Linked DNA regions of Ovis aries. The protein of the gene in region 2 binds, or shares a complex with, the protein of the main gene of each other region. Links are inferred from orthologs where the notes say so. Each region holds a gene or a part of one and is shown on either strand. Other genes may lie near its edges.

Region 1 (2,605 bases), on a different chromosome or scaffold from region 2:
CTATGGCCTCCTGCCTCTAGAAAATTTTCCTTTTACTGCCTGAGGCGTCCCAGTGTCCCTTTTTATTTTTATTTTCTTGGCTGTGCTGCTGTGGGATCTTAATTCCCAACCAGGGGTCAAACCTGTGCCCCGTACGTTGGAAGCCCCGAGTCTTAACTGCTGGACCGCAGGGAAGTCCCCCAGTGCTCCTTTGTAACGTCCGTCCTGCCTTCTGTCCTCCCCAGCAGAGCCTGGAGGTAGACTTCCTCTCAGTGTGTGGGGGTAGGTAGAGGCCATGCCATGTTCATTATGTGTTCCTGTGTGTGTAGGGAGGGGGGTTACAGAGAAGGGGTTGTAGGACTGGGTAGGAGACCAGCTGCTCTTGAGGTCACCACAGGGTCATGGGGTGCATGCCTGTCATGGGTGTGTATGGCTCCGGCTGTGGTTGTGCATGCACGCTCATGCACACACGATTAGCAGGGGTTGCGGGCTCCTTTCTGAGTGAAGTGCTGCCCTGCCCGGAACCCTCCGCCCACCCCGCCCTGACGAGGAGGCCTCCCTTTGTGTCCCCCTTGCAGGCTACATCCAGAAGATTAAGTCTGGAGAGGAGGACTTTGAATCTCTGGCCTCACAGTTCAGCGACTGCAGCTCCGCCAAGGCCAGGGGAGACCTGGGTGCCTTCAGCAGAGGTGCGCAAAGAATGGGCACCCCTGAACCCCAGCAAGACCCTCTGACCCACTGGCACCTGCACCCCACCTAGAGGGATGGCCCGTGTCACACTGTCCCCTGGGGTCCACCAGGTGGCAGCAGAGTCCCTTCCTCAGGCTGCAGAGTCTTCTCCCCGGTGGTGGCATTTCTCTCGGGGTGGGGCATCCATCTGTGTGTGTCTCTGCTCAGTTGTCCCCATCACAGACCCACCAAGGTGGGTGCCTGCTGCCATTTCCCTCTCTTCCTGTTGAGGTGCAAAGCTGGGGCCCCTAAGAGTCCCAGAGCACATCCCCCAGAATCCTCTGCCCACCCTCCTGGGTGGAGAAACCAGGAGTGAGGGGAGGAGGGGGTCAGATCAGCAACCCTGCCAAGTTCAGGCCTCTCCACCTGGGACTGTGGGAAGGGAGGAGCAGAGGGAACCAGGCCGCCGCCGCCTCCCCCCTTCGTCCTGGGGTCTCTAGAGCATCAAGGAAGGGCCCAAAATAGGCTGAGGGGTGTTTGGGAGCCAGCAAGGGGCTGTGGGCCAGGGAGACCAGCTCCTCGGTAAAGCTCCTCTCTCAGTGCACAGAGGAGACAGCCACTGTGCCTCGTTCTTCATGCTGTCCTCAGCTTCCTGGGGCCTCCCTAATAGCCTTGCCACCCCCAGCTGCGCCCAGCTCAGGCGCCGTGGCAGGGCCGGAAAGTGCATGACGGATGAGTCAGAATGAGGGCCCTGGGGGCGCAGTGGGAGCCCCGTCTGCCCAGTCCCACCTGCAGGTCTGGACCCCACCCGCCACCTCTCCTGCTTCCTCCCCCAGGTCAGATGCAGAAGCCATTTGAAGACGCCTCCTTCGCGCTGCGGACAGGGGAGATGAGCGGGCCCGTGTTCACAGATTCGGGCATCCACATCATCCTTCGCACGGAGTGAGGGGTGTGGATGGCCCAGGCCTGGCCCCCTGGGGGAGACAGGTGGGACGGGGTGGCTGGGCCCGCAGACTCCGCTCCCTGCTGCCGGCCAACCAGTGGGGACCCCTCCCTTCTGTCACACAGTATTTATTGATCCCAGAATGGCTGGGAGGGGCCCCTTCACCACCGGGTGCTCCCTGTCCGCTCCTATTGGGGCTGTCCCTGCTAGACTCCCCTCCCCTTTAGGAATCGACTTCAGAAGGGCACAGGGTGGAGAGGCTCCCTGGGCTCCCAGGGCCAGGGTTGGGGGTGACCTGTCCCAAAGAGAAGGCCTAATTAGCTGAGCTGCCCCTGTGCCACCCCAGGTCCAGGATGGGGTCAGGTGGGCCTTGAGTTGTTGCTGGTTGGGCCGTGTTCCTCTGTTCAGTTGTAAAAAGCAGACGCTCTGCGTGGGGCCCAGGCTGCTGGCTGCTATGGGGCCTCTAAGCAGCCATGCAGCGCCTTCCCCACCCTTGATTAAACCTGGAACCACTGCTCTGCTGTCTGGCATTTCATTTCCCACCCCCAGGGCAGCGATCATCTCCCACCACCCCTGGTGTCAGGTGTCCAGGCCATGTTCCCTCCCTGGGAAGCTGCTCCTTTCCCTGGGCCTGGGGTGCTTCATAGCAGCAGCAGACTCTCAGGGAAGTGGAACAACCGCGGTCCTCAAACTTGGGTGTTCAGGAATGTTCCAGAATGCAAGGGCCCTGACCGCACAGCTCTGGGTTCAGCAGGTCAGGTGGAACAGGAGAATCCTCAGGGAACCCAAGTGAAGTCCCCGTTCACCCTTGGTGCTCTCGGTGCCGTGCCCCCCCAAACACACCCCACTTCAGTTGGAACAAAATACTCCCAACACTCCGATGCCCACTCCCCTGTCACCGTAAGCATTCTGCCAGGACCCGGGCACCTCTGCAGATGCTAATTCCATGGCAACGGGGGCCAGTGAGAGGGCACTGCCAGATGTCTCTGAGAGCAGGGGTCCTGCCCAGCCTTC
Region 2 (3,155 bases):
AACTTCTGAGAGGCAGGCTCATTCAGCTGGGGGGAAGAGGAAGGCAGCGCTCAGCTGGGACTGCTGCCCCATAAAACGAAACGACATGCATCACAGCCGCCTCCATCGCCTTGGTCCTGTCTTTTCTCCCCAGTTGCTAGCGTTTCCCCCCCTCCTGGTACCCAGCTGGGCAGGGTACCCAGGTGGCGGGCATCCCTGCCTCTGACAGAGGGCGGGGCTGAGTTAGGCAGGAAAGTGGAACAGCCAGTGAGCTGGGTCCCCACCCTCTGTGCGCCCCACTGACACATGATGGCAGACAGGGGGGGCAGGTGACCTGGTGTGGACAGCCAGAGGGCAAGTCCTCAGACAAGTGGCAACAGGCCACCAACTTGAAAGGGAAAATTGTGCTGTGATGGGGAAGGTATCCAAAAAACCTACTGGGTGACTAATTACAAAGGCTAGGCCAGAGCGTCAGAGGCCGCTCGTTAAACACCTCATTAAGTGGCACTCTGAAAGCTGCCACTTTTGCATTCTGGGAGCTCAGAGGGGACAGGATCCTGAGGAGGAGTGAGGGGTGGTGGGTAGAACCATTTCAGGTAGACTCTGGAAGAAGCCTGCATGTCACTTTTAAATAGTCTGGAGCTCACAAGTCAAAAGACTTGATGGGAGCAAAGCCAAATTTAGTAGCTGTGTGACTGTGAGCAACTCTCATCTTTCTCTGAGCCTTAAAGCGGTCCCGCCTCTACAGTGGGAGTAGTGTCACAGACTTGCCCATTTCACACAGACAGAGCAGGTTAGATTAAGTTAGATCATGGGTATGAAGGCGCTTGGGAAGCTAGCTACCGCCCTACCTAAACAAAGAGTTATCCCTCCTGAACCAATATGGGAAACACACCTGGCAGGACTGGGAACCGCATCCTCCTGCACCTGGCTTTATGGGCTCTGCCTAGGCCCATAGCGGCCAGGTAGCTGAAGCCATCCTCAACCCGTGTAAGAACACGGTGAAGGAGGATCTGATTTCAGCAACTGGGACAGCTACCTACGGTAGGCATGTAATAGAAGCCCTGAACCAGAGCGGGCAGCCTGGGGCCTGGAAAGGTGTCGGTGCAGGTGAGGCCAACGCCCAAATCTCTCCCGCTGACAGTCCGGATGACTCACCCCCGGCCCCCGCCTCCCTACCCGCCATCCAAGCCCTTTTACCTTTAAGGAAGAGCGGAAAGGGTGTGGGGGCGAAGAGGAGAGGGAGGCAGGTCCGGGGCCCTAGCCCCGCCCTCTGCCCCTCCCACCCTTCTCTGGGCCTGGCCTTCCAGCCAAAAGGCGGGCAGAGAGCAGGAGAGGCACAGAACCCGGCCTTGGTTCCGAGGCAGCCAGTTAGCCCGCCGCCCGCCTGTCTGCCTGTCCCCAGAGCCATGGAGAGAGCCAGTCTGATCCAGAAGGCCAAGTTAGCCGAGCAGGCCGAACGCTATGAAGACATGGCAGCTTTCATGAAGAGCGCTGTGGAAAAGGGCGAGGAGCTATCCTGCGAAGAGCGCAACCTGCTTTCAGTGGCCTACAAGAACGTGGTGGGTGGCCAGCGGGCGGCGTGGAGGGTCCTGTCCAGTATCGAGCAAAAGAGCAATGAAGAAAGCTCGGAAGAGAAGGGCCCGGAGGTGCAAGAGTACCGAGAGAAGGTGGAGACGGAGCTCCGGGGCGTGTGCGACACAGTGCTGGGCTTGCTGGACACCCACCTCATCAAGGAGGCCGGTGACGCCGAAAGTCGGGTCTTCTACCTGAAAATGAAGGGCGACTACTACCGCTACCTGGCCGAAGTGGCCACTGGCGACGACAAGAAGCGCATCATCGACTCAGCCCGGTCGGCCTACCAGGAGGCCATGGACATCAGCAAGAAGGAGATGCCGCCCACCAACCCCATCCGCCTGGGCCTGGCCCTGAACTTTTCCGTCTTCCACTATGAGATCGCCAACAGCCCCGAGGAGGCCATCTCTCTGGCCAAGACCACCTTCGACGAGGCCATGGCCGACCTGCACACCCTCAGCGAGGACTCCTACAAAGACAGCACCCTCATCATGCAGCTGTTGCGAGACAACCTGACGCTGTGGACGGCCGACAACGCTGGGGAAGAAGGGGGCGAGGCTCCCGAGGAGCCCCAGAGCTGAGCCGCACCCGCTGCACGCCCTGCCCTACCCTGCCCGCTCCAGTCCCCCACTCCCGGCAGAGAGGACTTGTATGGGGTGGGAGGTCCGACCCTTCTCCCCAAACGCTCTGGCCCAGCTCAGAAAGGCTCCATAGAGAGGAACAAGCAGAGCCGAGTCCCCCTGGAGCCAGAGGATTCCATACTTCCTGCAGCTGTCAGGGGCTCCTGGCCACTGGTCATCATCCAGCCCTGCTCTGTCTCCACCCCCGCCCCCCGTCCCAGACACCCCCCCCCCCACCCTGACCACTTCCTCCCCACTCCAACCCCCTCCCGCCCCTGCTACCTATGGATCTTAGGAATTGAGGAGTGTCCCATCCTTAGAGCTGAAAACCGAACTGTGTGGCAGAGGTTGGTGATGAAGGTGTGTGTGTGCGCCTGTGTGTGTGTGTGTGTGTTGTGCAGCAACCAGGACCCAGGATGAGAGGGAGAGCATGTCTGCTGGGTGTGACCATGTTTCCTCTCAATAAAGTTGCCCTGTGACACTCCGCCTGTCTTTTTCAGTTATTGCGGAAGGGCGGGACAGGGATTGGTGTGTGAGTTACAGAGACCCTGACCTCCTTGGGGCTGGCTCAGTGACTCGCAGGCAAGACTCTGGAGCCAGGAGAGAGGCTGGGGATCCAGCCCTCTCCATCAGGGTCTGGTCTAGTCCCCTCAAACTGGTCCTATCCCGGGAGGGTCGGGTGAGCAGCGCCAAGGCGGCTTGGAGACTCCTCTGCCAGGAACGTGGGGTGGGAGGCTGAAGCGCTCAGGTGTGAGGGGACAGTCTCCGGGGTGAGGTCGGAGGGGTACGCCGCAGTGAGCGGCACTGAGCACCTCAGACCTGAAAGCGGGGAACAGTCCCATCAGATCTGAGCGGAGGGAAGTATCACCAGGGGGCGGGTATGACGCCGCCATTAAAAGCTCAGGTCTGAGGAGAAGACCGCCTTCCAATGTTCGGAGATGGGGACAAAATAAAACAGGCCGTTGACGAAGAAGTGCAACT
Region 3 (4,104 bases), on a different chromosome or scaffold from region 2:
CAGCAGAAAAACTGCTGAAGTCAGACCCTAAAGATATGGGTTTCAGTCCAACCTGGTAAGTGTGACACACTGGACAGTATCTTACTCTGTGAGCCTCAAGACTTCTCATTTGTAATACTTTCCCCGCCCCCCCACGATGGAAAAATGAGGCAATAAATGAACTTATATTCAAATATTCAATAGTTTGTGAACAACAGTATTTACAACCCCCATTCATACTATTCATAAGCAAATATAGTTATTTAAATTCCTTAATTAGAGTTAGGGTTTGATTTATCAAAAAGTTAAAATTTCCCAGATTCATATAACCAAGAAGAGAGACTGAAAGCAATCAGCAAGGGCATCTATGCCTTGATGTTAAATCATATATATTCCGAGTTTCCAATCAGAATAAATTGGAATTTAGGACTCATTAGCAGAAATAAAAGTCTAACTTACAGATGCACACTTGGTCAACAAACGCATTAAAACAAATAAAACTACGGTAACTTGTGAATATTATGAATCCATAAACTGCTGATACAAACTTTCATGCAATGATTTACTAGAAGAATAGGTACACTTTTCAATGGCAATTCTTTTCGGCTTACAGATGCCACAAAATGGGGAATTCAGTATCCTATGGGTATTATACTTTTGAAACATATTAACCAGCAGCATAGCTGTGCAGACGGTGGGGTGCAACGCCAACACCCATGAGCCCGGCAACTCATTTCCAGGGGTAAGAGAGAAGCGCACCCAAGTCTACTTCTTGCAAACTGAAATATTGAGGGCAAGCAGCTAAATTGTTTTTCCTTCCTCTCCCTTAACCCAGGTTTTTTGTCAGCAGCGTGAGTTTTTCTGAGTTCCCAAACCCCTTGGTCTGAGGGAGGAGAACTTATCACAGGCCTCCAAATAGGAGGGGCGATGGGAGTGGGGGCGATAAGTGTTCTTTCCGCTCAAGTTACAGCCGGGTGGACTAACTTCATCACAGTTATTTGGAAAACCAATTAACTTTTGGGCAAAGTTCCTATGCTGAAGTTTAGCCTGAAGCAAGTTCTTTTTTAAAAAGGAAGGACAGAAAGAAAAGTCTCCCCTAAACAAATCTTCTGGGACCGATCGGAATCTTAACACTTTCATAATATACAGTTGCACTTCAACGCTGGATCACGTTGACAAAATAATCGAAGGCTGTATATGTGGGACAGCCATGTTCATATCCTCAGTAAGAATTAAAGAGCAATGGCGAGCCTCGAATTAGTCATCGCTTCCCAAACATTAACTTCTAATCACAGCTGAACTAGGCAGGACTCGGCCTGTGAGTCAACCTGCGGAGCGTTATCAAAGACTTGTGTTAAACCCCAGGCGCGGTGCAACCCAGCCCAGAGCCCGCGCGCCGTGCAGATGTGGCCCATTTAAAAGCATTTCAGCGGACTGTAAATAATTGTCCGCGGTGGGGAAGCCAGCACGTGAGCCCACTGCGTTTCGGGGAGAGTGAGCCTGCGCGAGTTGCAGAGCGCAAGGGGGAAGGGCCGGGGTGAGAGCGCCCAACTCCATAAACAACTTCCAGGAAAGTCTGGATCCTGTGCTCGGCGAGCGCCGGGGCCGCGAGGAGAAGTGCTCCCGGGAGGGGGAGGGGGACAAAGAGCCCGGGACCGCCCGGGCCGGTTCGAGCCCCGGCTCTGCTCCACGCTGGCCAACGAGGGCACGACTCCGTGCCTCCCGGGGAGACTAGGGGGCCCGGGAGACCCTGGAGGAGAGGGGGCTCGGGGCGCGACTCCGCCCGCGGAAGCCAGGGCCGCCCCCGCTCGCGGCCCGGCGGCGGGAGCGGAGGTGCGGGGCGCGCGCGTATTGTGCGAGCCCCCCGCGGCCCGGCCGCCTCGCCCGCCCCTGCTTTCCCCCCGACTCCGCCGGGAGCCCGCGGGGGAGGAAAGAAGGGAGCAGGCGAAGCGCGCCCCCGGGGGCTGCAGCCGCCGAGACGGACTCCCGGGGGCGGGGGGAACAAATCTCGGCCTCGGACTCCGGAGGAGCGCGGCGCCCCGGCCGGCCCGCCCCTGCGCGCGCCCATCCCCGCCCCGCCGGCGCCCCCGGAGCCCGCACCCCCCGAGCGCCCCCGCCGGGGGCCCACCCGGCGGGGAAACGGGGAAACGGGGAAACGGGCGGCGCGGTTACCTGTCGGGAGTGGGATTTGGGCTCGGGAGGCTTGAAGAAGGAGTCGGGCAGCTTCCGGAGCCTCATGGGCACGGTCTGCGGCACGTTGGCCGTCTTGGGGTTCATGACGGCGTTGAAGAGCGCCTCCAGGTCGGTCTCCGAGTCCCCCCGGACGTGCACGATCTGGTGGCCGGCGGGGGGGGCCTGCGGAGCCGCCGGGGGCCCCGGGGGCGCGGGCTGCCCAGGCGCGGACGGCGGGCCCTGGCCCTGGGGGCCCTGTGCGGGCGGCGGCCCCTGGCCCTGGGGGGCTGGCTGTGGCGGGGGCGGCCCGGGATCCATGGCTCCTGCCTCACCCGGCGGGCACGGGCTCCGCCCGGACGGCCCGGCTCGACGGGCCGCGGCGGGGGAAGCAGCGGGCGCGGCGCTGGCCTCGCGCTCAGGGCCGGGGGCTGCGCCGCGGCCCCGCAGCCCCCGCCCCGCGCCCGGCTCCGCGGGCCTGCGGCGCGTCGGGAGGGGCCGCCGGAGACCGGGGCCCGCGGCGCCCGCGCTCGCTCCCTCGGCTCGGGCTGCGGCCGCACGGCCCGCGCCGCTCCCCTCCCCCTCGCCCGGTTTCCTCTCCTTGTTCCTTCCTTCCTCCCTTTCTCCTCCCCGGCGGCGGCCGCTCCCGACTGAGACGCAAACTCGCCTCGGACGCCAAAACTAAAGTTGGGAGACGCGCCCGCCCGAGCGGCCGCGGCCCCGCCTCCTCGCGGCGCTTCCTTCCTCTGCGCGCCCGCCCGCGCCAGATGCTCAGGGAAACTTTCCCCGGCGAGGGCGCCGCATTCCTGCGGACTCCGGCCGCCGCCGCCCCGCCCGCCCGCGTGCCCGCCTGCCCGGCCTCCGCGGGGCCTCGCGGAGCCGCGGCCGCGGCTGCGAGCGTGCCTGGCGCCCCGCGACCGGGGAGCCGCCGGCCCGACGACGCGCGCGCGGCGGGTCCAGGTCGGAGCCCGGGCGCCGCCGGGAGCGCGGCCGCCCTGGGCGCGGGGGGTCCGGCCGCCCGCCCGGCCTGGCCGCCTCCCCCTAGCCCTCGGGAGCGGCGGCGCCCCTCGCCCCTCGATGCCGGACAGCTGAGGCAGAAAGGAGTCTGGCGGGGACGGCGGAGTCCACGGACGCCCGCCCCGCGTCAGCCCGACCGCACCGACGGGAGTGCTCCTGTGGGCTCACGGCGAGGGTGGACCTAAAATGGTACCCGTAACACACATTGACTTAATAAGGATCCATTAAAAAAAAAAAAAAAAAAGAACTTGATACTTTTCACTTCTTAAACATGCAAAATCCACTTGAAAGACATAAACCAGTTTTGTGATTTGAAGCTTAAAGACTAAATCTGGGACTCAGTCTAATTTACTAAGTAACCAAAAAATTGCCTTTGTTTAAACTGAAAACATTTTTTTAGTGCTCAGATTTGCCACATAGTCGTGAAAACTTCAACGGGGAAGCCCACGCTTCAAGTTTCAAGTATTGCCCTGTGTGCCTGTCTTATCCTTGACGGGATGGGAGCCTATCTTTCTTTGTTACCCCTGTGCCTGGGACCTTGACTTTCACTTTGTGATAGTTGACCGAATAAGAAGTAAATGGGTGAGGAACTCACACCATGCACCTGGTTCTCTTTGTGGCGGTGTCATACATGCAAGTCCACTTGAAATCACTCAAAAGCCATGAAAATGTGTTAAGGTTTTTTGTTTGTTTGACCACGCTGCTTGCGAACTTGTGCCTCCAGCAGTGGAAACAGGGAGTCCACTGGAGTGCCAGGGAGTTCTCCAAAATTTGTTTCTTATTTCATACAGTCTGATTTTTTAAAAAGCTGCTTTACTGAGATATCCCATGCAAGCAATCCATTATTTTTCGTTAATTCACGGGGTTATGCAACATCACTCTGATTTTAAATCCACTAGTTCATTATAAAGAAAAACTAGCTTCCTGTTTTAATGATTG
Region 4 (4,225 bases), on a different chromosome or scaffold from region 2:
TAAAAAGAGCAAAACAAAACTTGACAAGTATTTCTTCTGCTCCCTGAGACACAAGGGCCATTGTCTTCCTTTGGCCCCCACTGATCTTGGCAGGACAGCCTGGACCTAGAGCCCAGATGGAGCGAGGTGGGGTGGGATGGGAGGGGGCAGTGATTGACACGCGGGACAAGCAGCCTAAAGCAACACCTGGGAGTGGGGCAGGGCTTCGCCTCAAGCCTTTGGTACTGTCCCCTGTTAGGTTTTCACCTCTCAACGTCTCAGCACTTGCATTCTAAATAGCAAAGCAATGACAAGCAAACAATCGAATTTAGTGTAAGTAAGTAATAAAGTGACAAGGCTCTCCCTAAGTGCTCTCCTCTGACCCCGCCTTCCCCGTCGTCCCGGACTGACTCAGTGGACAGTCTGAGGTTCCTGCCCAGGGGAACAGGTTCCCACGGAGGGCACGAGGGTTGAGGCTGCCTTCGGCTCTGAGGATGCGTGTGCAGGAGCAATCGTCTTCGGCCGGGGCCGAGCCCCCGTGAACCCGGCTCGGGGCGGCTCGTCTGGCCAACGGCGCCCCCCACCGCCAACCCCCCCACTAGTCTACACCGACCGCCGAGGCTCAGCTCGCTGGTGCGGAAAGGTGGGTTCCCGGCGCTGCGGCGGCGGCTGGGTCCTCCCCGCCGACTCGGCAGTCAGAGCCCGGGCCCCGCGCGGGGGTGGGGACAAGCGTGTGTGCGGCCCGCGCCCGGGGCCGGAGAACTCGACACATCGCAGGGAAAGGAAAAAAAAAAAACAAAAAACAACCAACCAAACCAAATAAAAACAAAACCCACCGACTTGCCCACGTTTCTCTGCAGAGAAATCGTGGGCGGAGTCGAGAGGGGGCGAGTGAGCAGAACTCCGACGAGGCCGCCTCCGCCCGCCCACGCACCCACCCACCCGGCGGCCCCCTGAGCGCTGATTGTCCCCGGCCCCCGCCCGGCCCAGCTTCGGGCTCCCGAGCGCAGGTCGAGGCGAAGCGGGCGGCTCGTTCCACTCGGGCTTCCCGAGTACTCGGCTGGGCTCCTCAGTAGTAAACAAAGTGTCGCCGCCGCCTCCACGTTGGTTTGCCTCCTAGCAATCAAAACACTGAGAGGGCGAAAGACTCACAGAAACACTCGAGAATTACCAGAAAATAATAACAGAGAGCCAAAAAAAAAAAAAAACCCAAAAAACAGAGAGCGAGCGAGCGAGGGAGAGACTGTGCATGTCAAATAGAAAAACACCCTACTACCCCCCACCAACCAACCCACTGCCGCCTCCCCGTGGAAAACCGAGCCCCGCCCAGGCCGGCGCCCATTGGCGGCCCGGGCGCCGCCGCCGCACTTTCATTGGTCGCAGGGGCCGTCCGTCAGGGGCGGGCCGGCGCGCGCGCCGCCGCCGCCGCCGGCGGGGGGCGGCGGCAGATCCCGTAAGTCGGGGCGGCCGCGTAGTCGCTGCTGCCGCCGCCGCCGCCGCAGCATTCAACAGGCAGCAGCGCCGCGGTCGCGCCCGCCCGGGGAGAGCAAGCGGCCCGCGGCGTCCGTCCGTCCGTCCGTCGTTCGGCGCGGAGAGCGACGCCAGCGCTGTCGGGGCCCCGACGACTCTGGCCTGCCGTCCCGTCAGTGCAGCGGACCCGGAGGCGCCTAGATGCGGACGGAGCCGTGAAGTTAAGTTCTGGGCTCGCGCTTCCACTCCGCCGCCGCCGCGCCTCCCTCCGGGTTTCCGTCCGCTCGCTGCACCGACCTCACCCCTTCCCGCAGATCTCGGACAGGCTCTCGGCGCCCTCTCTCCCCTCGGCGCCGCCCCCCCCTGCCCGGTGCTGCGCTTTTCTCACTTCTGGGCAAGTCCCGCGGCTGGGGGAAGGGTGGGGGGGTCACCATGGCCGAAGCGCCCCAGGTGGTGGAGATCGACCCGGACTTCGAGCCGCTGCCCCGGCCGCGCTCGTGCACCTGGCCGCTGCCCCGGCCGGAGTTTAGCCAGTCCAACTCGGCCACCTCCAGCCCGGCGCCGTCGGGCGGCGCAGCGGCGAACCCCGACGGCGCCGCGGGCCTGCCCTCGGCCTCGGCGGCCGCTGTCAATGCCGACTTCATGAGCAGCCTGAGCCTGCTGGAGGAGAGCGGGGACTTCCAACAGGCGCCCGGCTCCGTGGCGGCAGCCGCGGCGGCGGCGGCGGCGGTGGCGGCGGCTGCTGCGGCGGCCGCAGCTGCTGCCACCGGGGGGCTGTGTGGCGACTTCCAGGGCCCGGAGGCGGGCTGCCTGCACTCGGCGCCGCCGCAGCCCCCGCCGCCCGGCCCGCTGTCGCAGCACCCGCCCGTGCCTCCCGCCGCGGCCGCCGCCGCCGGCGGGCCGCTCGCGGGGCAGCCGCGCAAGAGCAGCTCGTCCCGCCGCAACGCGTGGGGCAACCTGTCCTACGCCGACCTCATCACCAAGGCCATCGAGAGCTCGGCCGAAAAGCGGCTCACGCTGTCGCAGATCTACGAGTGGATGGTCAAGAGCGTGCCCTACTTCAAGGATAAGGGCGACAGCAACAGCTCGGCGGGCTGGAAGGTGAGCGGCCTCCGGGCGCACGGCCGGAGCGGGAGGGGTGGGTGGGTGTCCGGGGGAGCCGGCCTCCGTCTGAGGTCGCTGCGGGGCAGAGGACGGGGGACGGGGGCCCGCCGGTACAAGTTTTCTTGGCCTGAAAGTGCAAGGCACGCGGGTAGCGCGTGCAGGGTGAGGGCGAGAGTGGCAGAGGTGGGTCGTGGGCTTGCCCGGGACCCGTCGAGGGGGGCGGGGGGCAGAAATGAGTGTGTGTGCGCGCGCTCTAGTGAGAGTTGGAGCCGGACAGGGAAGGGGCTCGCTGGGACCAGAGCGGGTGAGAAAAAGGACGCCAAGAAGTGGACCTCCGAGCGGCCAGAAAAGTTCGCCCGTGAAAGAGGGGTGGGGCGGGGGGTTCACTGGGAACGGCTCCCCCTCGGCTCGCGCGGACTCCAGCCGCTGCTCATATTGCCCCCCTAGGACATCAAGGGTGAGGGCGGCTCTGCGCCGCCCACGCGGCGCTCGTTCCCCACCCCCAAGCTCAGGGACGCCCCGCGGAGCCGTTTCCGCCGCGCGGGGCGGAGGAGGGCGCGGCGATGGGGGCCTCGGAGCCCCGCCGCCCTAGAACGGAGCTGCAGGTGGAGGGTACAGGCAGGGCGCCAGCCAGGAGGTCCGTGGGGCCGAACGCGCCGTTTTGGGAGGCCAGCGTGCATTTTGTTTTGTTTCGATTGCGTTTCGAAGTAGCCTCGAGTGCCGGGGGCCGGGCGCACCCAGCCAGAGGTAGCGCCTCCGACACGTGCGAAGGGGCGGCCACCGCCGGCGAAGCGCCGGCGCCGGGCCGCGCGGGGCGAGCTAAAGTTCAAGTATGACCCTCGGCGGGGGCGGGAGCTGGCGACGGCGAGGGAGGGGCCGCGGGCGCAGGAAGCTAGCGCCTTTAAAGGGCCAGCGCGTTCTGGCCGCGCGCGCCGCCGGGCCCGGGCCGCGGGGCGGCGAGGCCAGCGCTTCTCCGCGCCAGGAAGTGCCCCGCAAACTTGGCCTCGCCCTAGGTTCAAGGCCTTTAATTAGGCGCAGAGAGGCTCCCCTGGATGCCCGGCGCTGGGAACATGTGTCCTCTGTTGCTTTTCCGTCTTGGCACGGAGGTGCAGATCCGAGAGGCAAGGCAGGGGGCTTTGAGACCAGTGTTTTGGAAGAGTTGCAGTGGAGGTTCGAATCTAGGGAACCGGAGGAACCTCCTGCATCGCCGGAGACCCTGTAGATGAAGTGCCTCTGGCCCTTTTTGCCTTTCTGGAGAGAGAGAGACTGATACCCACCAGGAGAGACCCTGGAGGGGGCAGGTTCATCCCTACCGAGAGGTGGAGAAGGCCCTGGGGTGCTCAGGGGAGGCCGACCGGCCTTCCGTCCGCCCTGCGGCTTCCAGGATCTGGCAGTTTCTCAGTGTCACAGGTGAAAGGATGGACGTGAAGGTTCTGTAGTTGATGTAGACTCCTTCCTCACTCCTCATCTGGACTGTACTGCGTAGTATTTTTCTTTGCTGCGCACTTGTTACAGCAAGGTGGTTTTACATACAGTGTCATCCCAGTGGTTAATGTGTGTCGGAAAGGTTAAGTTAATCACATCGTATTGAAACTCGTGGAGAAGGAGCCAGGATCTTATTTCTTCCAAAGTGTGTTTTGGAGTAAAAGCCTCACAGATAATCTCATTCATT
Region 5 (4,073 bases), on a different chromosome or scaffold from region 2:
CCTGGTGGCCCAGTGGTTGGGACTTCATGCTTTCTCTGCTGTGGCCCAGGATCAATCTCCAGTCGGGGAATTAAGATTCCATTCCACAAGCCTTGAGGCATGGCCATAAATAAATACATAAGTAATTATCCTCATATTCTTGTTCTTAGTATTTAGGATGGTTAGGGTATTTGGAATGATACCTGATATGTTTTCAACTTATTACTAAATGCTTCAAAATAGAAAAAACAGAAGTGTGCACATGTGCATGAGGGGAGAGAATCACCAAAAATAATACATAAACAACTGATGAACAAGGGTTGAGAGCATATACGTGTTCATTGTACTATGCCCTTAACTTTTTTGTGAACTTGAAATTTTTCAAAAACAAAACTGAGGATAAAAATCATTGTAGCAGACAGAGAGCAATTCAAAGAGGAAGAAGTCACTCCGCCCATACCACCTCCATTAGCTTCGGAGCCATGGCTGAGGCCCCACACTGGGCTGTGAGCCCTAAGGACACCTTTTTCACCCTTGTTTCTCCAGCATCCTGGTCCAGAACATGTGTTCAGTAACCGTACATGTATGACACTTTCCCTCCGGGGTCTGCTCCTAGGAAGTCATGGCAGAGTCAACGCTGGGACAAACGAATCACGATGGTGATCCCAGGCGTGGCATTCCTAGGCCTTTCTGTTGCTGGAAGAACCAGACAACTGTAACTACGTCCAAAGGAGTTATCCCAGGGCTTTTCTCCTGCCGTGCCTCCAGACCTCACCTGTCTCCTCCGGCAGGGAAGAGCAGAGCTTGCAGGGCTGTATCTGCTGCTCCTCATCCTCCTGCCATTGGCTACAGAGGGTCAATAAAACCCCAAGTCTGGAGGAGAGAAGCTGACCAGAGGGACTGACCCTATCATGATTCTCTCCAGCATGGGACCAGGGACTCTGTTCCCCCTCACTCTCACTCCCACCTTCCTGGGAGGGAGGAGGGAAGCATCTGAGAGGCTTCCAAAGAGCAAGAATCTGAAATCCAATCCCAGACCCTCCCTCAAAGACTAACCCACCACTCCGAAGTCCAGCCTGGGTCAGCGAGAGCTGGCGTGCAGGACCACCACGTGTCTGACAAGGCATTGAGCCCTCCCACCTGGAAAAGCCTCTGATTCTTTGAGGAAGAGGACGCAAGCCAGCAATGACACACTAACAGCCTGAGTCTCAGTTCCCACCAAAACACAGAGCATTTCCTGTGCCTTTTCCGTTATTTCACAAGCTGCATCTTCTCACTCTCAGGGCACCAGGACAGACAGTAGTTTCTTCCCTCAGAAGCAGGACGACTGCCTCCAGTCTCTCCTGGTCAACACCATGGTCAGGACCCGGAGTGACCATCTACTCTATTCCCTGGAGGAGCTTTTGCCCTATGACTTCGAGAAGTTCAAGTTCAAGCTGCAGAACACCAGCCTGGAGAAGGAGCACACCCGGATCCCCCGGGGCCAACTGCAGACAGCCGAGCCGGTGAAGCTGGCCTCTCTGCTGGTCAACCACTACGGGGAGGAGTATGCTGTGCAGCTGACCCTGCAGGTCCTGAGGGCCATCAACCAGCACCTCCTGGCAGAGGAGCTTCACCAGCTGATCAGCCCAGGTAAGCGGCCCCAAGTGCCCTCCTCTCTCAGTGCAACTGCTGGCTGTTCGTGGAGTCGGGTGGAAGGTACAAGAGGGAACTTGTGTTCAGACCAGTGCATCATACTGACTTGGGGGTCAGGAGTCCCAGGTCTGCGACAACTCCTGTGACTTCTTCAGCCAATCAAGTTCTGTCCCCTTCTCTGGTCTTTGCAGCTGGAGCAAAGCTAAGGCTCCCAGTGGCTTTAAAAAAATAAACCCAGGAGGTTGAGGTTCTGATTATGGGGCCAGATCAGGAGAGGCAGGAGCTGGATGCCTGCTGGTAGAGTTCTTCACTTCGTCATTAACACCTACAGATGAGTCTTTGGTTGAGCAAGAAACTAACCACTCCTATCGACTGGGTTGATGGGTAATATTGTTAACTCTTTTCAGTTTTGAGTTCTCCTCTAACACATGTCACAAAAGTATTCTAAAATTCTCAAAAGGGCTTTCTCCTTCCTTCCTTTTCTTTCCCTCATTTCTTTTTCATCTTTTCTTTCTTTCCTCTTTTCCTTCCTTCTTCTTCTACCCCTTTGTTGTCACTTTCTGATTTTATTACACTGTGATCAAAGAATGTGGTCTGTTGGATTTCTACTTTTCAAGAGTTTTGTTTTATTTTTTTTTTTTTTGAGATTTGGTGGGGGCAGGGGTGCTACTCTGGGACCAGTTTAAAAAAACTATTCTTTCATGTCTTAAATTTTCTTCTATTTCTAGATTTTAAGAATATACCAGGAATGCTTTTCATGTCCTCCTATGAGGTAGAAGAGTTTACATAACAAAATTTCTCTGCTCTTTGAAAGAGTGATAAAGCTAATCTATAACCTGAACCTGGTATAATTTAATGAGGATAATTTTAAAATTAATTTTTTTGTATTTTAAAACTTGTTTATGAGCCTCTTCAGGGTTTTTCACCAGTTCCTGAGGCAGCTTTTGTAAAATATGTTTTCCTGGAAAGCCAACAACAAAGTGTTTTAAGCAATCTTAATTTTACTATGGGGTTTTTCAAACCAAAATTAAGGTGCTAATTATAGGTTATTTTATTTAGTAGCGGTTTTCAAATTGTATCCCAGGAAGACATTTCAGGGATTGTTTAGAAAGTTGGCAAATACTTGATTCAAAATTTATGAATTAACTTACAAAACTAACTAATTCATATTAAAATGTGCCATTAACCAAATTTTAAAATATTGGAGGCCATCGGTGTGATAGTTCATATTGTACTTGAACTTTTTCTGGAACCTTGAATTTCAGCCCTGTCATTTCTCTTTAATTAAATATTGCCCTGAAATTTCCAGGCAAACTTGTTTTTTAAACTGTTTACACCAAACTGGATGAGGTAGGATTTTCTTCATTTCATGAAACCAAAGTTACAGCAAAAAATTCGCTTCTAAAGTTTTTTAAATATAAATTTATTTATATTAATTGGAGGCTAATTACTTTACAATATTGTGTTGGTTTTGCCATACATCAACATGAATCTGCCACGGGTGTACACGTGTTCCCCATCCTGTCCCTCATGACCCTTGATTTCAAACTTCTGTGCCTATCTTTATTGACTGATAACTGAGTTTTGTAGATCTGTAATTCACACACAAATGTATTCCAATAAACTATTCTATGTAAGAATAGTTCTGCCTAAAAAAGTTTTGAAAAGTACTACTTCAGAAATAAGACAGCAGATAATGAATATGATCTTATTAAATGCTAATTGACTGCCATTGTCTAGAACTTCCCGAACTCCCCTAATTTCGGAGGGGGTTCTCTCCTCTTCCTTTCCCCAAATGTTGACTCTGAGTATCGGGCATTCCCATGCCTTTCCATCTCATTGTCTTTTCAGTGTGTCGGATACAAGAAGGTGACACAGACAGCTCAGCAACGTCGGGTTCCTCTGGGGAGATGAAGCCCAAGAGCCTAAAGACCCTAGATGGCCTGGAAGGTGACAAACAGCGACAAAGTGCTGATGGGGCTGGCTGCCCATCCTCCAGCCAGCCTGAGGCTGGCAGGGGGTCTCAGAAGAAGCCTCTGGGAAAACAGCGAGATCAGAAAGGCCCTGAGGGCCTGGAGGTGCAGAGCAAGCTGGGGGCCAGGAACACGACTCTGTCTTCCAAGAGAAGCCCCTTCCTCGGCAAGGTGCTGCGGGAGAAGGAGAAAGGGAGCTGTCCTAGCGTCAGGCTGCGGAGGAACGCCAGCTCTGCAGGAAGGCTCCAGGGACTCACCAGCGGGTCACTTGCTGGATCCCCAGGAAGGAGAGAAACAAAGATATCGGAAGTGTATTTACCTTCAGGAAAGAAGCGACCCAAAAGTCTTGAATTTACCATTTCTCCAGAAGAGACAGGACCCCTCAATCCAGAAATTCTTCTGCTTCAGGAGAAAATGAACACTGAGAATCCAAGCTCAGCAACCACTGCCAGCGAAGTGGCCACTCTGAAAACAGGGCCGACTGTG
Region 6 (4,227 bases), about 8.8 Mb from region 2:
ACCCAGTTTATGTCCCCCCAGGGTGTTATACACAGCTTAATCATCACAGCATCATGTCAGGGCGAAAGGTCGGGACAAATGCCTGCGCATGGTGAAGCAGACTCGCCCGGAAGGCTACACAGACATAAAAGGGGCCGGGGTGCTTCTTACAGACCTCATACATACGTGATATGAAGAGCCTCCGAGCTACGCTGCGAAGTAAGCAGCTAGGTATGGAGCCCTGAGCAGCAGAGAAGTGAAGAGGAGGGAGGACATAGGTTCCCGTTGGCTTGGGGACCTGTAACGTTTGTTTGGAAAGATTTAGAAGAACCTGATGCCGATGCTGTTGGCTGCCTCCACATTAGGGAACTAACGGGAGAGACAGAAGGAGGGAAACTGTGTTGCAAGCCGCCTTTTGAACTTGGACGCATGTGCCTGTCATATGTATTCAAGAACCATCAGTTCAGTTCAGTTCAGTCGCTCAGCTGTGTCCGACTCTTTGCGACCCCGTGAATCGGAGCATGCCCGGCCGCCCTGTCCATCACCAAGTCCCGGAGTTCACTCAGACTCACGTCCATCGAGTCCGTGATGCCATCCAGCCATCTCATCCTCTGTCGTCCCCTTCTCCTCCTGCCCCTGATCCCTCCCAGCATCAGGGTCTTTTCCAATGGGTCAGCTCTTCGCATGAGGTGGCCAAAGTGCTGGATTAACCCACACTTAAAGTCTTAAACTTCGCTGGCGAGCCTCGTGGGCTAGAGCAGGTGTTCCCATTTCTTGGCTCAGTGAACTCGGCGGAGATGCGGAGCTGCTGGCGACCTTGCTCAGCGGGGGCCCTTCGTCCGCTCTTTCCACCAATCCCTGCCCGCCCCCTGCTGGGCGCTGATGACACAGCTGTGCTCAAGGAGCCCCCTAATCCCCTGGGGAGGGCACGCAGCTGCCTGGACCACCCCCAGGGGTTCGAGGCTTTCACAGGCGCCATCCCCTAGTCAGCTTCAGAGCCCTGGGAACCACTGGTCCATCACTTACCACTTTCCAGGAAACCCACACCTTACGACCGAGGCCTCAAAGTCTAGAGGGGCTGCCCCGTGCCCTCTCCTGACCAGCGCCCCACGCACCCCCCTGCAGATCCTTGCTCCAGACAGCTCCCAGCTTAGTTAAGCCTCCAGCGCCGAGGCCAGGTTGACCAATCCCAGGCACCAGCTTTCCAGCTGGAGGCCAGAGCTCCAGGCAGCCAGCCCCAGCCCCTGCAGAGCTGCAGGCACTAGCTGCTTAATGAATTGGTGCTGCCCCGGCTCTGACCCCAGCTGCACCTCAGCAGCGCCTCTCCTCCCAGCAAACCTCTGCGGAGGAAATCAGTTACACTCTGGCAGCTGCTACAGCCTCCTTAACAAGGGGGCGGGCTGGAGGCCCCTGAACCCATAAGAGGGGCAGGCAGTGGGCGCAGCCTCGGGGTTGTCAGAGGTTGCCGTGCCGGGTGGGGTGGTCAGCCCAGAGGGCCGTGCCATGGCCTTCCGGAACATCGTCCCTCTGTCCCTGGACAGCCCAACCCACGCTGTGTGTGTGCTGGGCGTGGAGCTCTTCTTAGACGTCAGTGGGTGAGGAGCTGGGAGAGGTCTGGGCGGGGAGGCTGGCGAGGATCCTTACCTGGGGCATCCTTGGCTTACGCGGGAGTCGGGGGCTCACTGCTCGCTCTGTACCTACCCCGCTGTCCTGCTCCATCTCAAGGAGCCGAGGTCGGGTCTTTAAGGGCCTCCCGGTCCTGCTTCTGCTGCTCCTAGGCTGTGGGACCTTGGAAGCACGTGCGTTGCCCTCTCTCGGTCCCCTTCCCCATGAAAGGGGGTGAGGATGACCCCCGAGGCGGCCGTGCGGACTGATGAAGCAGGCTCCTGTGAGCTGGAGCTGTGGTGGGAGGTGACTCTCAGGGCCCCTGCCTTCCCCCGGCCCCGGCACAGACCTGCCAGGCCTTGCTTTTCCCCCGTAGGGATCCCTCATGGCTCAGACAAGGGGCCCTCCCCTCCCAGGAAGGTGGGCCTTCAAGAATAAGATGTAGGTTAGCAACTTCCAGAGCATCCTCGGGAGGCGGGGGTCTGGGCGGCAGCTTGTCGCGGGGCCGGCATGGAGGTCCTGGGAGCAGGATGTGGTGAGGGGAAGGCTGATGTGTTAGGACCCAAAAGTGCCTTGACCGTGAGTTGGGGGGCTTCAGCAGCAGAGAGGCTGGGGGCACCCCCTCCAGCTGCACTCCGGGCCAAGAAGGTGGGGCCTGTGCGCCAAGCTCTGTCTGCTCGCCGGCCCCCAGGTGCGCCCCGCCGGCGTGTGAGTCCTTCTCCGTGGACGCGTCTCTGGGCGTTGTGGTCCGCGTCTGCGGCGCAGACCCGGTGGAGAGCAGGGAGGGGCCGGCCGCGCCCCGCTGGCCCCTGTCGCGCCCCACGGACGTGCTGGTGGCAATGACGTCCCCCAACTTCGCGGAGGACGAGGGCAAGGTAGGCCTTGGGTGGTGGGGGAGGTGAGGGCAGCTCTTCCGGGAGGAGCTGACGCAAGCCCTGGGGCCTCCCTCCTGGCAGCTGGGGCCTCCTGAGCGCAGAGTCTGAAAATTCAGAGCCAAACGCTTTGTCTGATCGCATTCAGTGCTTGCAGCCAACCTGTGACCCCGTTTTACAGACAAAGAAACTGAGGCACAGAGTCAGGGAAGCACCCTGCCCAGGCCAATAACTGGCTGAGCAGGGATTCAAGCTCAGGTGTGTCTGTCTCCCCCATTCACGCTTCTGACCACCACACTAGCTTCCAAGTCAGCTTTTTTAAGGTCTGGCCTAAAAAGTTTCAGCAGTAGGACTCAGATGGGCTTTTTGGCTAAGGCTGGTCTCTCAGATATGGAGCCTCTTGATGAAACTTAAGAGCTACCACGGGTCTGATGCTGAGTACCAGGTACTGAATCACGTCTCCCAAGGTCGGCGTTCCCTCTGCTCATGTGTGAGGAAACGGAGCCACACCCTAACGGGACAGACCCAGGATCCGAGCCCAAGCCCATGCCCTATCCTCTGGGCAGGATGCTGCCCAGATGGGACCCGTGGCAGAGAGATGGACTCTCAGCTCGTGCAATGGGCTCAGCTGAATCTGAGCGGTTAGTGGCGGCTGAGTAATTAAAATCACCTGATGCCCAGGCCTCGGCCCCTGCCAACCAAACCATCCTCTGAGCCTCATAGCTCCAGCTGACCCCAGTGTGAGGCTGAGGCAGCACAGCTGAGGGAGGCATGTTTAGGACTGGGGGACTTTTGCCAGAACGTTCCAGAGGAGAGTCAGTAGGGGGCTAAGCTGGGATGACTGAGAGGGAGTATACACACCTCCTCCACCGGTGCCCAGGGCAGGTGACTCACCAACAGGCAGGTGAAAAAGTCGCTCAGTCGTGTCCAACTCTTTGCGGCCCCATGGACTATACAGTCCATGGAATTCTCCAGGCCAGAATCCTGGAATGCGTAGCCTTACCCTTCTCCAGGGCATCTTCCCAACCAAGGAATTGAACCCAGGTGACCCGCATTGCAGGCGGATCCTTTACCAGCTGAGCCACAGGGAAGCCCAAGAGACAGGTAGGACACTTATCAAGCGTCTCAGAGAAGGACTGAGGCTGTGATGTGGCCCAGCTGAGCCCAGAGCACCTGAGAAGCGTCTCTGCCCAGCGCTCCGCCTCCAGCAGCACTAGGACTCAGACGCTTACCTCGGGCCCCAGCTAATGGCTAGTTCTGTGGTTCGAGATGAAGGCCTGTGGTCAAGGCCAGAGGCTGAAGGGCAGGGCTTTCTCGAAAGTACGAAGACTCCTCTGCAAGCAGAGGTCGCTGTGAGACCCAGGACAGGCAGCCCCCGCCCCCAGCGGCCTCTTTCTGGGCAGCTTGGCCCATTGGAGGCCCCACAGCCTCACAGCCCATCTTGTGGGGTCCCAGGAGGGGTGGTGTAGCAGGCAGGACATGGAGGGCAACTTAAAGCTTGACCTCTAGAGCTGCACAGCCCAGATCCTAAGTCCTGTTCCACCCCTTTTACTGGCCAATAGTTCAGTCCTGACTTCTCTGCCCTGTGGTTAGAGCCCGCCTGGACGGGCAGTGGTGAGGCCTCGGTGTGGAAGGGCTTGGTGGAGGGTCGTGGCGCGTCACACCCGGGGGCTCTAACAGCCCAGTGACCCTGTGCTCACTCCCGGGAGTCACTGGAAGCTCAGAAGTTGTGGCGTGAGACCGAAGGCAAACGGCCAGAGCCAGGGACAGG
Region 7 (3,949 bases), on a different chromosome or scaffold from region 2:
AACTGTGTGATGATTTACGAAATGTTTCTGAGTTGATTTTTTAAAGCATTCAGGGTGTGTTATGTATAATTGACAAATACATAAACTACATTTTATTTGAAAGCTGATGTTTGGGGTAAAAATCATATGTGTTTGTATATGTTTCCCAGTTTGGAAGCTTGTATTGAAATAAATGTATGACTAAGAACACTTTCAGTGCGCTGGTTAGCACTGCTTTCCCTACAGGGAAAAAAAAAAAAATGCAGTCTTTATTTTGTCAAAATGCACTGAGACGTTTTCAATGCACTAGCTACCCAGCAGCCCTGTCTCCTACTCCTGAAACTGGAGGAGCCAATTTGTCCCGCAGTTGTTTTATCTTTGTTTTGAAAAGCTATACATTGTATATCTATAGGTAGAGAGAGGGGGAGCAGGTAAAGAAATATTTACATATAGAATTTACATAGGCATTTTCGAAAATTGCATTGAGGCACTCTCCTCTTCTGTAGTGATGTAAAACTGCAATCCACCTCAGAGGACGATTCCCACTTCGCATGCTCGAACAATTTAGAAGTCATATCTTGGATTTTTTTTTTTTTAAATGCCCAGTCTAGATCAGAGAAACAGACGACAACACGATGACGGATCAATGAGAAAGTACAGCACTCAATAAGCAGGAGCCCCCTCCCCGGTGGAATCAAACACAGACAACGGCAGGACAAACTTCATTCTCTACCTTCCGCAGAATCCTTTCCCAAATTAACTCTGAGAGTCTGCGTGAGTTCTTCTGGGCAAGGCAAAAAGAGATCTTGGGTGAGAAACCCAAGACAGATCCCTCCGGGGCTTGGAGGGTTAAATTAGTTAGGTTTCTTTTCTAGCTTCCCACGGGAGGAGAGAAGAGAGAAAAAGAAAGAGCAAGCAAGCGCGGGCCTGGCGCAGTATCTGCCCGGAGCGTCCGGATCTCTGGTCCCCGCTCCCTTTTCTCTCGCGCTCAGTTTCTAGCCGGGTCGCGTCTCTGCACCCTTCGTACCTGCCTGGTTCCGCGGCTCCTCGCAGCCTCCCGTCGCCTCCCTCCTGATTGGGCAGCCGCCCCCCAATCGGCTGCGCGCCTGGGCCGGTGGGACTGCATATGTTAAGCTCTACTTCATATTAATAAGCTCCAATCGGGGCTTTAAGTCCTTGATTAGGAGAGTGTGAGAGCTCTGGTCCCAACTGGCTGTGCCTATAGGCTTGTCACTAGGAGAACATTTGTGTTAATTGCACTGTGCTCTGTCAAGGAAACTTTGATTTATAGCGGGGGTACACAAATAATGGTTGCCGGTCGCACATGGATTCGGTAGAACTTTGCCTTCCTGAATCTTTTTCCCTGCACTACGAGGAAGAGTAGGTACCTTTTTCTTTCCTTTTTAAAACTCGTCGTGGGGGTGCGCGTGTTTGTGTGTATGGCGGGGCGGGGGGGGGGTGGTTTGGGGGGTGGACGGAATGGATCTTGGCGCACTGAATCAGGTAATGTCCTGGGTATTTCGTGTGCACGAGTGCTTGTTTGTGTCTGTCTTGTGCCTTTTGTGTTGAGGGTGATCTCCTAATTCAGGAAGTCGAGAATTGTTCTCTGACTACAATGTTACCTTTGAGGCAAAGCTCAGTGACTGTCAGTAAAACAGCTGTGTGACAGTCACTTCTTATTCAGGTGCTAAGAATAGGCACTTGGCACAAATGCTTAGTGAACTGTTAAAATGCATCTTTTACTAGGACCCATTTTCCCAAGGAAAGATGTTTTAAAATACAATATTCAAAATGATTTATACTATTGAGTGCCTCTTATGTATTTGCAGCTTGACAGATATTTTCAGCTCCCCGTCATTTCTTACCGCTCAGAGTTAGAGGCAAAATTGCACATTTACTAATTCTCCTTCAGAGAACAATTTAAAAACTAGCCCTATGCAAGCCGGGGCTAGAATAATGTTATTTGCATGGTTAGCATTAAGTCAGCACTTAACTGACAAATCAGTCCATTAAGTAACATGAGATTTTTCACACGCTATAAATATTTAAAGGGAGAAAAAAAAAAAACTAAACTAAAGAAGAAACAGTAGTGACTTTTTAAATTTCTCCTTGAACAGACGATGCTGAGATTGTGGATTTGTTTCGTGTATCATGTCCAGAAAATGCAGAAAAGTACTTTTGTCCTTAGATGCAGTTTCATTCATATTTATGAATATCTTTATGCCCATGGAAATATACATATTTGTATTGCTCAGGGTCGGGGGGAAGTGAGTAGGGGGTAAAAGGAGTAAATCAGGCATTCTTGGGTAAAAATGAGTAGGTCGTAAACTTAATTTCAACCCACTGTTAAGATAAAATACTAGTTTATCACAGTAACTGTCACTGGTTCCTCTTTCTGTTGAGTCAGTTATATGGCTTTGCTTTCCCATTACAGTAATACCAACTGTTATAATTCTGAAAAGAGTGCTCTTGGCAAACAGTTCTCCCTAGATTGTGAAGAAAACATAAAACCCTCGAGAGGAGGAGGTCATGCATTATAGGTAGATGTCCACTAGCGGTCCTTAGTGACTGCATATTGCCTTGCTTTGTAATTAAGCAAGAGATGAAAAGTGACTTGCAGTCTCAGTGGCTCCTCATATGTTTGAGTGTGTGTGTGTATGCCTGTCTGTAGATGTGCTTGCACGCATACACACTCACACCAGGGATGTTAGCCCAGGGATGGACTTAGGAAGAACCGAAAGATTGGAAGGCAGTGCTTGCGTCAGTTGCAAATGCTCCAAGGAAGAAACCTTAAATTGTGTGAAAATAAAAATGAGAAATAAACAAAGGTAGGACTGCCCACTCAAGTGGAGTTTGAAGGTTAGTACACCTGAGGCTGTAGCACTGGAGAATTTAATACACCTTCATGTCAGGAAGAATGCATTATCCAAGCTCACCCAATTCAGAACTTTCTCTCATAAATAAATAAACAAAACAAACTTTAAAAATCTGCCTTCTTCCCCTAGCCTTCTTTGTAAAATAGTTTCCTTGAATTTAACTTCTTATAGCTAATTTGAATAATTAGTTTCGATAAGCCTCTTAAAGCAGATGTATTTAAATGAAATCAGGACACATGTCCTTTTGGCTTTGGCGCAAGATTCAAACTAGCTTTCCTTTTTGGCTCAATTAAAAGTCATCTTTAAAAAATACAGATTTATTGTTTGGATGCAGCTCTGATGGTTACGTGGTTCACTGGACAGACAGAAAGATCTAATGCTTAGTAACGCATCTGCCTCTCTGTCTCAATTAATAAACCACAGAATTTATACATGCTATTAATATTCATAGTAATTGTGCTGGGTTAAACCCCATCACGTGTGTGTATACACAGAAATGAAACCAGAGTTATGCAGTTTCAGAGGAGAATATTGGACAATTTCTGCTGTGGAGGCTGTTGAAAAGATTCCTTCAATTTATTGACCACCATTAGGAGAGCCTAAAATGTTAACCTATAACTATGTTGTTTTTTTTTTAATTTTGGGAAATGTGCCAGTGCATTAAAGAGCATAATACTTGAAAGCTTGTTTCACATTTAATAGCAGTAATAACTGATAGCATAAATAGATGAAAATAATATATCTGCTCATTTTGACATATGTGTCAGTCTAATCATTCTAAATGAGTGTGCTCATCACGGTTCTCTTTCAACCTCTGATTAAAATGTAACATTGACTACAGGATTATAGAGCGGACTTAATTTTACTGACTGTTTTAGCAGTTGTCACAGCTGTTGGAAGAAGGAAAGGCAATTGAAACACTCCAAAACAGGCAAGGCTAGGAGGGAACAGTTTAGTATTTGAATTTCAGCCTGATCATGAAAATCCAGACCTGATCATGAAAATCCAGACCTCAAAAATTAAGCAGATTTGTGTTTGTTTTTTTAAAATTCCTGTTTGGAGCTATGCAAGTTTTATTTTGTAAGGTTTCCTCT

Evidence for each region.
Region 1: the proteins of SFN (region 2) and PIN1 are in contact, whole or in part, in a crystal structure (PDB 7AOG), measured with the Homo sapiens proteins. The link is inferred for Ovis aries from reciprocal best matches to the Homo sapiens genes SFN and PIN1. Residues at the interface, in NP_006133.1 of Homo sapiens: Tyr19, Lys49, Asn50, Arg56, Arg60, Lys122, Asp126, Arg129, Tyr130, Pro167, Gly171, Leu174, Asn175, Val178, Glu182, Ile219, Leu222, Asn226, Leu229, Trp230; in NP_006212.1 of Homo sapiens: Arg68, Arg69, Pro70, Ser71, Ser72, Trp73, Arg74, Glu76.
Region 3: the proteins of SFN (region 2) and YAP1 are in contact, whole or in part, in a crystal structure (PDB 6G6X), measured with the Homo sapiens proteins. The link is inferred for Ovis aries from reciprocal best matches to the Homo sapiens genes SFN and YAP1. Residues at the interface, in NP_006133.1 of Homo sapiens: Lys11, Glu14, Cys38, Glu39, Asn42, Leu43, Val46, Lys49, Arg56, Lys122, Arg129, Tyr130, Gly171, Leu174, Asn175, Val178, Glu182, Leu218, Leu222, Asp225, Asn226, Leu229, Trp230; in NP_001123617.1 of Homo sapiens: Ala125, His126, Ser127, Ser128, Ala130, Ser131, Leu132, Gln133.
Region 4: the proteins of SFN (region 2) and FOXO1 are in contact, whole or in part, in a crystal structure (PDB 8A62), measured with the Homo sapiens proteins. The link is inferred for Ovis aries from reciprocal best matches to the Homo sapiens genes SFN and FOXO1. Residues at the interface, in NP_006133.1 of Homo sapiens: Tyr19, Ser45, Lys49, Asn50, Arg56, Arg60, Lys122, Asp126, Arg129, Tyr130, Glu133, Gly171, Leu174, Asn175, Val178, Tyr181, Glu182, Leu218, Ile219, Leu222, Asp225, Asn226, Leu229, Trp230; in NP_002006.2 of Homo sapiens: Pro20, Arg21, Ser22, Cys23, Thr24, Trp25, Pro26, Leu27, Pro28, Arg29.
Region 5: the proteins of SFN (region 2) and MEFV are in contact, whole or in part, in a crystal structure (PDB 8C28), measured with the Homo sapiens proteins. The link is inferred for Ovis aries from reciprocal best matches to the Homo sapiens genes SFN and MEFV. Residues at the interface, in NP_006133.1 of Homo sapiens: Glu14, Cys38, Asn42, Leu43, Ser45, Val46, Lys49, Arg56, Arg60, Glu115, Phe119, Lys122, Arg129, Tyr130, Pro167, Ile168, Gly171, Leu174, Asn175, Val178, Tyr181, Glu182, Asp215, Ile219, Leu222, Asn226, Leu229, Trp230; in NP_000234.1 of Homo sapiens: Arg205, Asn206, Ala207, Ser208, Ser209, Ala210, Gly211, Arg212, Leu213, Gln214, Gly215.
Region 6: the proteins of SFN (region 2) and PADI6 are in contact, whole or in part, in a crystal structure (PDB 4DAT), measured with the Homo sapiens proteins. The link is inferred for Ovis aries from reciprocal best matches to the Homo sapiens genes SFN and PADI6. Residues at the interface, in NP_006133.1 of Homo sapiens: Lys49, Arg56, Arg60, Lys122, Arg129, Tyr130, Gly171, Leu174, Asn175, Val178, Tyr181, Glu182, Leu222, Asp225, Asn226, Leu229, Trp230; in NP_997304.3 of Homo sapiens: Phe443, Tyr444, Pro445, Ser446, Ala447, Glu448.
Region 7: the proteins of SFN (region 2) and ESRRG are in contact, whole or in part, in a crystal structure (PDB 8BJG), measured with the Homo sapiens proteins. The link is inferred for Ovis aries from reciprocal best matches to the Homo sapiens genes SFN and ESRRG. Residues at the interface, in NP_006133.1 of Homo sapiens: Asn42, Ser45, Val46, Lys49, Arg56, Arg60, Arg129, Tyr130, Glu133, Gly171, Leu174, Asn175, Val178, Glu182, Leu222, Asp225, Asn226, Leu229, Trp230; in NP_001429.2 of Homo sapiens: Arg175, Arg176, Arg177, Lys178, Ser179, Cys180, Gln181, Ala182.

Annotation. Positions count from the first base shown.
Region 1 is NC_056058.1:12,295,884-12,298,488, forward strand, and holds the end of PIN1 (peptidyl-prolyl cis-trans isomerase NIMA-interacting 1), read left to right. Parts: intron 1-557; coding exon 558-668; intron 669-1,484; coding exon 1,485-1,594; 3' UTR 1,595-2,105; downstream 2,106-2,605. UniProt on the Homo sapiens protein: Peptidyl-prolyl cis/trans isomerase (PPIase) that binds to and isomerizes specific phosphorylated Ser/Thr-Pro (pSer/Thr-Pro) motifs.
Region 2 is NC_056055.1:240,067,325-240,070,479, reverse strand, and holds SFN (14-3-3 protein sigma), read left to right. Parts: upstream 1-1,330; 5' UTR 1,331-1,388; coding exon 1,389-2,135; 3' UTR 2,136-2,655; downstream 2,656-3,155. UniProt on the Homo sapiens protein: Adapter protein implicated in the regulation of a large spectrum of both general and specialized signaling pathways. Binds to a large number of partners, usually by recognition of a phosphoserine or phosphothreonine motif.
Region 3 is NC_056068.1:6,333,361-6,337,464, forward strand, and holds the start of YAP1 (transcriptional coactivator YAP1), read right to left. Parts: upstream 2,801-4,104; 5' UTR 2,470-2,800; coding exon 2,152-2,469; intron 1-2,151. UniProt on the Homo sapiens protein: Transcriptional regulator with dual roles as a coactivator and corepressor. Critical downstream regulatory target in the Hippo signaling pathway, crucial for organ size control and tumor suppression by restricting proliferation and promoting apoptosis.
Region 4 is NC_056063.1:22,148,914-22,153,138, forward strand, and holds the start of FOXO1 (forkhead box protein O1), read left to right. Parts: upstream 1-1,425; 5' UTR 1,426-1,881; coding exon 1,882-2,550; intron 2,551-4,225. UniProt on the Homo sapiens protein: Transcription factor that is the main target of insulin signaling and regulates metabolic homeostasis in response to oxidative stress.
Region 5 is NC_056077.1:3,239,691-3,243,763, reverse strand, and holds the start of MEFV (pyrin), read left to right. Parts: upstream 1-1,273; 5' UTR 1,274-1,334; coding exon 1,335-1,611; intron 1,612-3,465; coding exon 3,466-4,073. UniProt on the Homo sapiens protein: Involved in the regulation of innate immunity and the inflammatory response in response to IFNG/IFN-gamma.
Region 6 is NC_056055.1:248,914,560-248,918,786, reverse strand, and holds the start of PADI6 (protein-arginine deiminase type-6), read left to right. Parts: upstream 1-1,427; 5' UTR 1,428-1,482; coding exon 1,483-1,574; intron 1,575-2,275; coding exon 2,276-2,459; intron 2,460-4,227. UniProt on the Homo sapiens protein: Structural constituent of cytoplasmic lattices, which plays a key role in early embryonic development. Cytoplasmic lattices consist in fibrous structures found in the cytoplasm of oocytes and preimplantation embryos.
Region 7 is NC_056065.1:19,381,047-19,384,995, reverse strand, and holds the start of ESRRG (estrogen-related receptor gamma), read left to right. Parts: upstream 1-1,149; 5' UTR 1,150-1,303; coding exon 1,304-1,359; intron 1,360-1,444; exon of another isoform or gene 1,445-3,949. UniProt on the Homo sapiens protein: Orphan receptor that acts as a transcription activator in the absence of bound ligand. Binds specifically to an estrogen response element and activates reporter genes controlled by estrogen response elements.